2 linked regions of the Ovis aries genome follow. The protein of the gene in region 2 interacts with the protein of the main gene of each other region in a biochemical or structural test. Links are inferred from orthologs where the notes say so. Each region holds a gene or a part of one and is shown on either strand. Other genes may lie near its edges.

Region 1 (4,371 bases), on a different chromosome or scaffold from region 2:
CTCTGATTTTGTCTTTAGCACAGGTGGGAGCTCCCCACCCTCCTGGTGGCAGAAACTCCTGCCAGGGGAGCCCAGCCCTGTGCCCCTCCGCCCTCTTTGTCCACCTCTGCTGCTGATGGAGTAACCATCCTGTGGCTTTGGTTGCAGCTTTTTGTACCCCTGCCCCACCCCATCCAGGGTATTTCACAAGAGTGCCCACAACTGACCCCCCAGGGGCCTGCTCAGCCCTTTCTGGCCAGTGACTGTTCTCTGGCAGGGAACAAAACTCAGAGGGCCCCCTCACCCACCCATTGGTCATCTTTTCTGCATCCTGCCCTCACTTTCTGCAGCCCTGCCTAGGACATTTCTCCCCACTGAGTCCTGGATTCCTGGCTCAGCTGGACCACTTCTGTCCCCTTGCTCCCTCTGTGACCTTCCAGGTTAGATGCAGGGAGGTAAATGGAGGCCTAACCAGGATTGTGGTGCCCTCCTGGAGAGGCTATGGAGCCACCGCTCTTCCAGAGCAGAGGGTGGGGCAGAGGAACCGGAGGTCACAAGGTCTTCAGGGCCCCATGCCTACCGCAGGAGCCAGGTCCTCCAGGTGGAGCCAGAAGGGCTCCCCGAGCCCTGAGTCCGGGTCCAGGGTCTGTCAGCGCGAAGGAAAAGCCCTGGCACCAGCTTTTCCCACACGCCATCCTCCATCCACCCCCCAACCCTCAAATGCTGAGCACATGGTGACTTCCTGAAGAGATCACACAGAAAAGTGCCGAGCGTGGCGGCTGGGAGCTGAAAAGTGCCTCCTCGGCAGATTTCACCCTCCACAGAAGCCCTGAACTCAGCACAAGTGTAGCCAATCGCCTCCTAATCAAAGGTGTGCCTGTGTGCTACTCGTGAGGGGGAGGGGCAGGTCTCAGCAAAGCAGGGGCTTCTGACCTCCTGGCCTGGTCTCCGCTACCCGAGGACTCTCACTACTGGGATGGAGACAGCTTTTGGGCATGGGCTGGGACTGATGGCTCAGGACCGTCAGTCCCAGCCCACCACAAGAAACCAGAGGGAGGGCATTTCAGAGGTTGGATCAAGGAGAACCTTTACCCTGCCTCTCATCTCTGCTTCCACTAAGGCTGAGCACACCTTGTGGAGAAGGCATGGGTGGTCCCAAGGGCAGGAACCCACCAAGGTACCCAGGGCCACTCATTCAAGGTGAGAGCCAGCCAGAAAGGGGAGAGAGCTCCATCCTCTTTCCCAGGTGTGGACAGCAGACAGGAGGCTAGTCGCCCCTGCTCCTTCTCCTGATCACAAACACCAGTGGCTAAACTGCCCTGGCAGGTGTGGCGTTGGTCACTCTGGCACCCTCACCTAGCCCACTGCACTCCCACCCTGCCCTTTAGACCAACCTTCTCCAGAAGCCCTTTGTAAAAAGTCTAAAACTTAATTTCCACCAGAGCATAAGTAGCTGAGAAGAATCTACATGTTCCTGGGGCATAGAATTTCAGCCAAAAGATCAGCTTAAGTGTTAAAACACCTGGCATCTATAAGCCCAGGGCTGGAGGGGAAGGACAAACCACAAGGTCAGCCTTGGCTAGCCATGAACCTCTGGGCAAGAGCAGTCAGCTCTGGTCTAGACAGAGTGCTCCCCTAACCCTGAAGACCAGGAACCACTCATACACCCAAGAAAAATAGTTCAGGCCACACCACCCTCAGGCTGTCACTCCCCAGGAGTCCCTACCACTGGCCTGATACCCAGAAGGGCCACGTTCTTTGCTAACCTGCACAGTACTGAGCCCCAACCTCAAGTGGAACCACTCTGGGGTGACGGGGATGCGTCAACTCCTGCCATCCACACCAGTCCACCCTCAAAGTTACCACCACTCAGACCCCAAGGCCAGGCTGTGAAGAAAGCCAAAGCCTGTTCACCAGACACCTCACTCCCCTCAAGTCTAAGTCCTTATGCTTCCTCTCCTTTGCCAATTTCCTGGTAAAGCTGCACTGACTTGCCCCGTGAACTGTCCACTGTCACCTAGGACTCAAGTACAGGCGCCCCTCCTTCTCCCACTGCCTCACGTCTTCCCACCTGAGACAGCTGGGCCTGGCCAACCACGCCAGCCACAGGGAAAGCCTACTTCCCAGCCCGCTAGGACGGCCCCCCCCAAGCTCCTCCCCTCTTCTCAGAACTATTTCCCAGTTTGGGGAACTGTCCCAGAGGCGGGTCAGGGACCAGCAGCCTGAGAAAAGCTTGCCTGGGAGGGGATGGACACACCAGGGGTTTCACCCTCTACCCCGGGATAACCTGCACCGTGACTGCTCCGTTTACTCCTCACCCTCCTATCGTAAACTCGTATCAGTCCAAACTTAAGCAGGCGCCCCAGCCTGGGGCCTGGCCCCTTCTAACTTCCCACGGTTTCCCTCTCACCCCTCGTTTCCCGGCCTCTCAGGCCCCTAGCTGAAATCCCCCCAGGCATTAGGACAAGCATCTAGTGACCTCATGCTGATGACTCAGCAAGTCTCCCTCTGGGCTCTGGCACGCGTGTGACGGAGTGAAGCCGGCGCGGGCAGGGTCTTCCCAGCCCGCCCCCCACGTGCCGCCTCCTGCCCCCGGCTTGCTAAAGACCCCGCGCCAGGGAAGCCTCGACACAGACACCTGATGAATCAGCAGCTCAGGCCGGGGCCGCCGAGCTCTTCCGCGGAGCCCTGGGCGCCCTGCTCGACCCCACCCTTTCCTCCCGCCACCCAGGCCGCCCCTCCCTCCAGGACGCCCGGCTTTACCTAGCCAGCCCAGAACAAGCCCCGCCCTGCCCCTGAGCGCCCCTGCGCCCACCCCATTACCCCCGGCTCAGAGGCCAGGAACTGCCCCTGACCGGTGGGGAAATCGAGGCATGGGCCGCCAGCAGGGCACAGGCAGACCCAAAGACCTAAGTACCCGGCCCGCGCCGCCGGGAGGAGCCGCAGCCCCGCGAGCACCCGTCCCCGGCCTGGAATCCCTGGCCACCCTCCGTCCGGCCCTAGCCGGGCCGCCGCCGCACTCACCCACCACACTGCGGGCCCGGCGGGCCGAGGCCGGGGCGGGGCGGGGCGGGCACTCCGAGGCCGCGCTGGGCTGGCCGAGCGAGTACTCTGGGCCCAGAGTAGGGGCTCGCCGCCTGCGCGGGCCGCGCCGAGCGCGCTGGGAAGGCCGGGCTGGACCAGGCTCGGGGCTCGGGATTCTTCGCCGCCGCCGCCGTCGCCACCGCCGCCACAGCCACCGCCGCCGCCGCTCCACAGACGTCACATGATGTTTGGTCACGTGGGCTCCATTCATGAAGCAGCGACGCGACCAGCTGGGGCTTAAAGGGGAAGGTGCGGCGGCGGCGGCGGCGGGGGCGGGGCACGCCTGCACTGCGCTTGCGCGCCCAGGCGCCGTCGCCTGGGCAACGCGCGCCGCGCCCGGTGGGTGAGGTCTCGCGGGACTGGCCCAGGAGCGCGCTCCCGGCCAGCCACGCCCCTTTCAAGGTGGGGTCTGGCTATCCTGCTCAAATAGTCTCCTGAGCCTTGTGTGCAGGACAATTCAAAGGCCACGTGTCCAGAGTGCAGGTGCGGATTAGAGGTCCCACGCATAACGGAGAAGATTCTCACGGTAGTTCTGATGCCGCCTGTCAGACTCTGCATGCACTGCCTCGATAACTGGAGCGGGCCTCAGCCCTGCCAGGAACGTTGGCCTGGCTCACAGAAGACCCATATACTCCCGGAGGTGAAGGGCTTGTCCAGGATTCAAAACTTAGGTCTGTCTGCCACTTCCAGCATCCTTCCAGTAGTGTAATCTGTCTTTACCCAACATCCTGAGACCTCACAAGGACTCAAGTGGTCCCTGGAACACGTCTGGCTCAGAGTGGGTGAGGGGTAAACATCTGTTGAATTAACAGTTGATGTAGGAATTGTACCTTTCCTTTCCTGTTTCATCAGCATCTGGCTGGAACTCAGGTCACCGGTCCATGTCTGCTCCTGAACTTTCTCTAAGTTCTCACGGCTCTTCAAAATTCCCAGAGAAAAAGGTGACAAAAGGCAGACGGGAAATTGAAGGGATCCAATTTCTACCTTGAAATTCTGGATTTACCTTCTTAAATGAAAAGCCAGGAAGGGGGACCTACCCTGCCAGGAAGGTCAGAGGGATCAGGTGAGCTGAAAGAAGGGTGAGTGAGAGGTTGCCTGTCCTCAGGGGAATTCAGTGCCACTGATGGAGGCCAACCCAGGAGGCCCCCAAAGCCAGGAGACAACAAGGTGTTAGCAGCTCTCTCTCCCAGACTCTAATTCCCTCAGAATCCCACAGGACCTTGTCACCTACTTTGCAGGGTTGCATGTGTTTGTCTTATCAGCCTGTCTGTGTTCTTTAAGGGCAAGGCGTGTCCCCTGTACTGGGTG
Region 2 (4,432 bases):
GCTATTTCCGTAGAGTGCTTTATATACCAAAGCTCAACCCAGACTGGAGACCTAGAAAACTGAACCACTGAAGAGAGATTCCAGCCCTCCCCTCAACATCCTTGCCTCCAGGCAAGCCTCACTGAACACACCTCGGACCTTCCAAATGCCAGGTTTCCCACTGTGGTCCCCTCCTGGTCTACAGAACTCAGCTCCCCCTGGGCCTCATGGATGGGGAGGACCTTTATCAGAAGAGAATGAAGGAAACCCCCATCACCAGTCCCACCCCCTCCGGCCAGGTCAGTCTGTGGCCTCCATCTTGGTCCCCCGGGGCACCAGGAAGATGGCCCCATCAGCAGCCTGGTGTAGCGCATACTCTTCAGGGGAGTAGCTGTTGCCTGCTTCATCCCGCAAGTGCTGGAAAATGTCACGGTACAGGTCCGTCAGCTGTTGGCGCATGACCTCCAGGGTCCGGTCGGCCTCGCCTCGGGCCCGGAGAAGCCGCTCCCGCTCGCTGCCCAGCCGCTCCAGTTCCCGCTCCAGCTGCACGATGGTCTCCAGCTTTCTCTTGCGACAGTTCTGGGCGGCCACCTTGTTCTTGCCCCGCCTTCGGATGTCCCGGACCAGGGCCAGCTGGCTCTCTGTCAGCGGGTACCGCGCCAGCAGCTCGTTGAAGTCGTCTACTGGCAGGTTGACAATCTTGTCCGTAGGGAAGGGGATCTTCATGGCCAGGGCCCGCCGCTCATCCCGACTCCCCGCCTCCCCCCGTGCAGTGGGCTTGGCCCGCACAGGGCCCGAGGAGGGTTCTAAGGCTAAGGGGGTCTCGGCAGGTGGCAAGGCATAGTTGGGGTGGGTCAAGGAGTTGGGCATTAGTGAGTAGGGGTACTCCACTGGGTACATCTCTACATACTCGCTGCGACGCCGGCCAGCCTCCGTCCCCTCCAACTCAAGAGATTCAGCGTCACTATAGTTGAGGGATAATCCTGAGTCAGATTCTGGGTCTTCTTGGGGCTTGGATGGCCCCGCTGACAACCCAATGTCCAGGAGGGCCAAGGGGTCTGGGAGGGGGTCACTGAGCAGGCCCGAGAGGGTCAGTGGCTTGGAGACTGGTACAGTCATGTTGCTACCATAGGAGTACGGAGGGTCTGGGACATGAGACGTGGGTGCCGGGAGCTCATAAGGTGGTGTAGGAAGGGGAAAGCCAGGCTCCGAGTGGATAGAGCAGGGGCAGTAACTTGGAGGCGGCGGGGGCCCTGGGTATGGGACAGGGGCTGGGGGCTCGAATGATGGCTCACTTGGAGCATTCAGACCCTGCAAGAAAAGACACCAAGAGGTTTGTAGACGGGCTGAGGAAGAGAAGAAACCATCTCTCTCTCAGAACCAATCTAAGTCCCACTGAAAGAACTAGTGAGATAATCACAAGGGAACAGAAAGTTGCTAATAATCATTAAAAGCTTCTGGCAAAGTTGTGACAGAGCAAGTTCATGAAGAAAGCGGCTTAAACAGGAAGGGCACTCGCTGAAGTCAGACTTCAGAAAGGACTAACGCCACAACAGTTGTGGAATCCCCTCCTCTTCAGGAGAAGTTCTTACTGGCTTGAGATGTCTCTTGTCCCTTTATTTCCTTCAGGAAGACAAGGAGTCACTCCACGATGACCCTTGGAACCCTTTTCCTGCTGCCATTATCTAGGGTCAAAGGGTCAAGTTCAGACCCTGGCCATGCCCTGGGTGCCCAGCAGAGGGAGCTGCTGTGTGGGAAGAGAGCTTAGGGCAGATCCTGAGGACCCAGGCTGGCATGGGCACAGTGCCAGGTCTGGGGCAGAGAGTTACTTCGGGGAGCCACCGTGAGCTCTGCCCTTTCCCCTCCAGTCCCTCTGTCCCTGCCCAGGTGCAGAGAGGAGGAGAGAACATGCTGAGGAGAACAGGGCCCCCAACCCACATCGGGGAGCCATCCTGCTCCAGCCCAGCTGGGGACAAAGGCATCATTGTTAGGCCAACAGACACCCCTTTGTCCAGGTAGCAGGAGGAAAGGACCCCGGCATAGCCCGACCCCCCACCCCCACCCCCACCTTCCTGAGGCCCCTGAACTACAGCTCTGCTACCTGAGGGAAAGGGGCCCAGCTGCTGAGGACAGGGGAAGGAAATGAGGGATGAAGACGGGCAGGACTGGAAGAGGGCAGAACAGAGGAAGGTGAAGAAGGGAAGAAGGGAAGGCGGGGCAGGAGGTGAGGTAGAGAGCCGTGAGCAGAGTGGCTGCTCAGAGAGCTTGCACCCCCAATCAGATCCTTCCTTCCCACCACTGCTATCTCTTGCTCATCCGCACCCCTCCCCCTCAACGCTCTGGCCTTCCCTCCAGATCTCTTCGACTCCAGCCCTTCTTTTTACAGTGTCCAGAAAATCTCCCATCTTGAGACCCTGGGCTCTGCTTGCTCCAGTGCCACCCCCTGCCACACACACCCAGGGCCTCGATCCCAGCCAGACTCCCTGTTTCGCTGCTTTTCCCTCCCCCCACCACCTTGTTCCCCACTGCCTGGCTTACCTGCAGCTCAGTGATGGACATGATCTCCTGCCAAGTCAGTTCCATCTCACCTGGCTCCGGAATGGGTAGCTGTGTTACCCTGTTCCTGCTCTGCTGTGGAGGACACGGGGACATCCTACTGGGCCAGGGCCTGGTCCAAGGTCCCGAGAGCCCAGATGGTCCCAGCAACCTATATCAAAGAGAAACAAAGGTTAGGACCTCTCCTGCCACGGGTCAGCAGTTTTATCCTTCTTCATTGAGCAGCTGGGCTTCCCAGGTGGCGCAGTGGTAAGGAATCCACCCGCCAATGCAGGAGACTTGGGTTTGATCCCTGGGTGGGGAAGATCCCCTGGAGGAATAAATGGCAACCCACTCCAGTATTCTTGCCTGGAAAATCCCATGGACAGAGGAGCCTGGCGGGCTACAGTCCATGGGGTCACCAAGAGTCTGACATGACTGAGCGACTGAACACGCACGCATGCACAGAGCAGCTCCCTCCAGCTTCCCCTGAGGGAAGGAGACGCTTCATCCCCCCATCCATGCTGCACTCATCAACAACTCCTTAAGCTAGAAAGCCTCTTTCTGCTGTGTTATCTCTACCTCACCTGCTATGGCTGTAGGCAGTTCCTCTGGGAGCTCTACTTTTCAGATAAGATGCCTTCTCTTTCCCCTACTGCTGAACTCCTCAGGACTGCATCACAGGCCAGGACAGAAGCCACATCATCTAGGGTGGTGGTTCTGTTTTTCCTGTCTCCTGCAGCAGCCTCAGGGATCACTCCTGCTCTCCTCCTCTGCCCTCAGTTTTAGGATCTCAGTCTTTTCCTTCCAAGTTGAGAGTGAGTGCTTGGGGATCCCCAAGGAGCGTGTTGTGGGAAGAGCCAAGCAGACAGCCCCTCCCTTTCTCTAAGATAGGCCCTGGGCCTGCTGGCTGATAGCAGCCCTGCCCTCGCCTCCTATCCTGGTCCTGGGCTCCCCTGCCTGGGCCAGATAAGAGGTTTATCAGCAGCAGGCAGCAGAGGAGGAATGGTCTCTGGAGACACTGGACCTCTGCCCTGTGTCCTGCAGGGTCCTCTTGGCTATACCCTACCCCACAAACCAGGTCATATAATAACCACAGCAAAGACTTGCTTGGCATTTGTTGAGAACTGAGCCTGGGGGTCTATAGGCACTCATTTATGAGATTGATTTTCACAAAGATCCTATAAGGTCCATTCTGAATCTGAGACTCAAGCTGCTAAATAGCAGAGTCAGGTCTGGTGCTTAGAGTTGCTGACTCTCCTGCCGTCCCATCTTCCAGGTGCCTTCCCAGTCCTGCTCCCACGTCTTGCTACGCCGAGACTCTACTGGTAGTCAGCATCAGTCAGCTCCTTCTGTGGAATCTCGGCCTCTTTTCTCTTCTAGGGAATATTTCTTTAGAGACTTGAATACTCACTCCCCTTCAGCCCCTTTGCTTTGGATCTGGGCTGGAGTTGCAGACCTGCGCAGCAGCAAGATGTCGGGCAAGCCGTCGCCTTTCTCTGAGCTTCTGTTTCCTCATTTGTAAAACCAGGGAGTGAGACAAGTTGAATTTGGAGGTCCCTCCCTCTCTGCTTGGACAGTTCAACATTCTCAGCAATCCCTCAGCCCTGCCTTCATCTTCTCCTTTCTGTCACCCTTTCTCCTCACTCCACCTCCCTATTCCCTGACACCCATCTCACCCTCATCTGTTCTCCCTGCCTTTGGCAAGACACTCCAAGCAGATTTGGCAGGGGCCCCCTGCTCTCTTAGGGCCACGCACTGTACCCTATATCTGCTGCAGAAGTAAAGGCAGGCAGACTGGGTGAGTGGGGGAGACTTAGAGAAGGACAGGCAGAGCATAGGGTTGGAGGACCTTAGATCACCACAAGGATGGCCCATCACAGGTATTTAATGTGGAATCCACTCTGACTCACCACAA

What was found.
Region 1: the proteins of NFE2 (region 2) and MAFG form a complex in vitro, tested with the Homo sapiens proteins (2 studies listed by BioGRID and IntAct, with this or other methods). The link is inferred for Ovis aries from reciprocal best matches to the Homo sapiens genes NFE2 and MAFG.

Annotation. Positions count from the first base shown.
Region 1 is NC_056064.1:50,465,151-50,469,521, reverse strand, and holds the start of MAFG (transcription factor MafG), read right to left. Parts: upstream 3,002-4,371; 5' UTR 682-3,001; coding exon 560-681; intron 1-559. UniProt on the Homo sapiens protein: Since they lack a putative transactivation domain, the small Mafs behave as transcriptional repressors when they dimerize among themselves.
Region 2 is NC_056056.1:132,256,523-132,260,954, reverse strand, and holds the start of NFE2 (transcription factor NF-E2 45 kDa subunit), read right to left. Parts: upstream 3,053-4,432; 5' UTR 2,898-3,052; coding exon 2,884-2,897; intron 2,687-2,883; coding exon 2,518-2,686; intron 1,291-2,517; coding exon 280-1,290; 3' UTR 1-279. UniProt on the Homo sapiens protein: Component of the NF-E2 complex essential for regulating erythroid and megakaryocytic maturation and differentiation. Binds to the hypersensitive site 2 (HS2) of the beta-globin control region (LCR).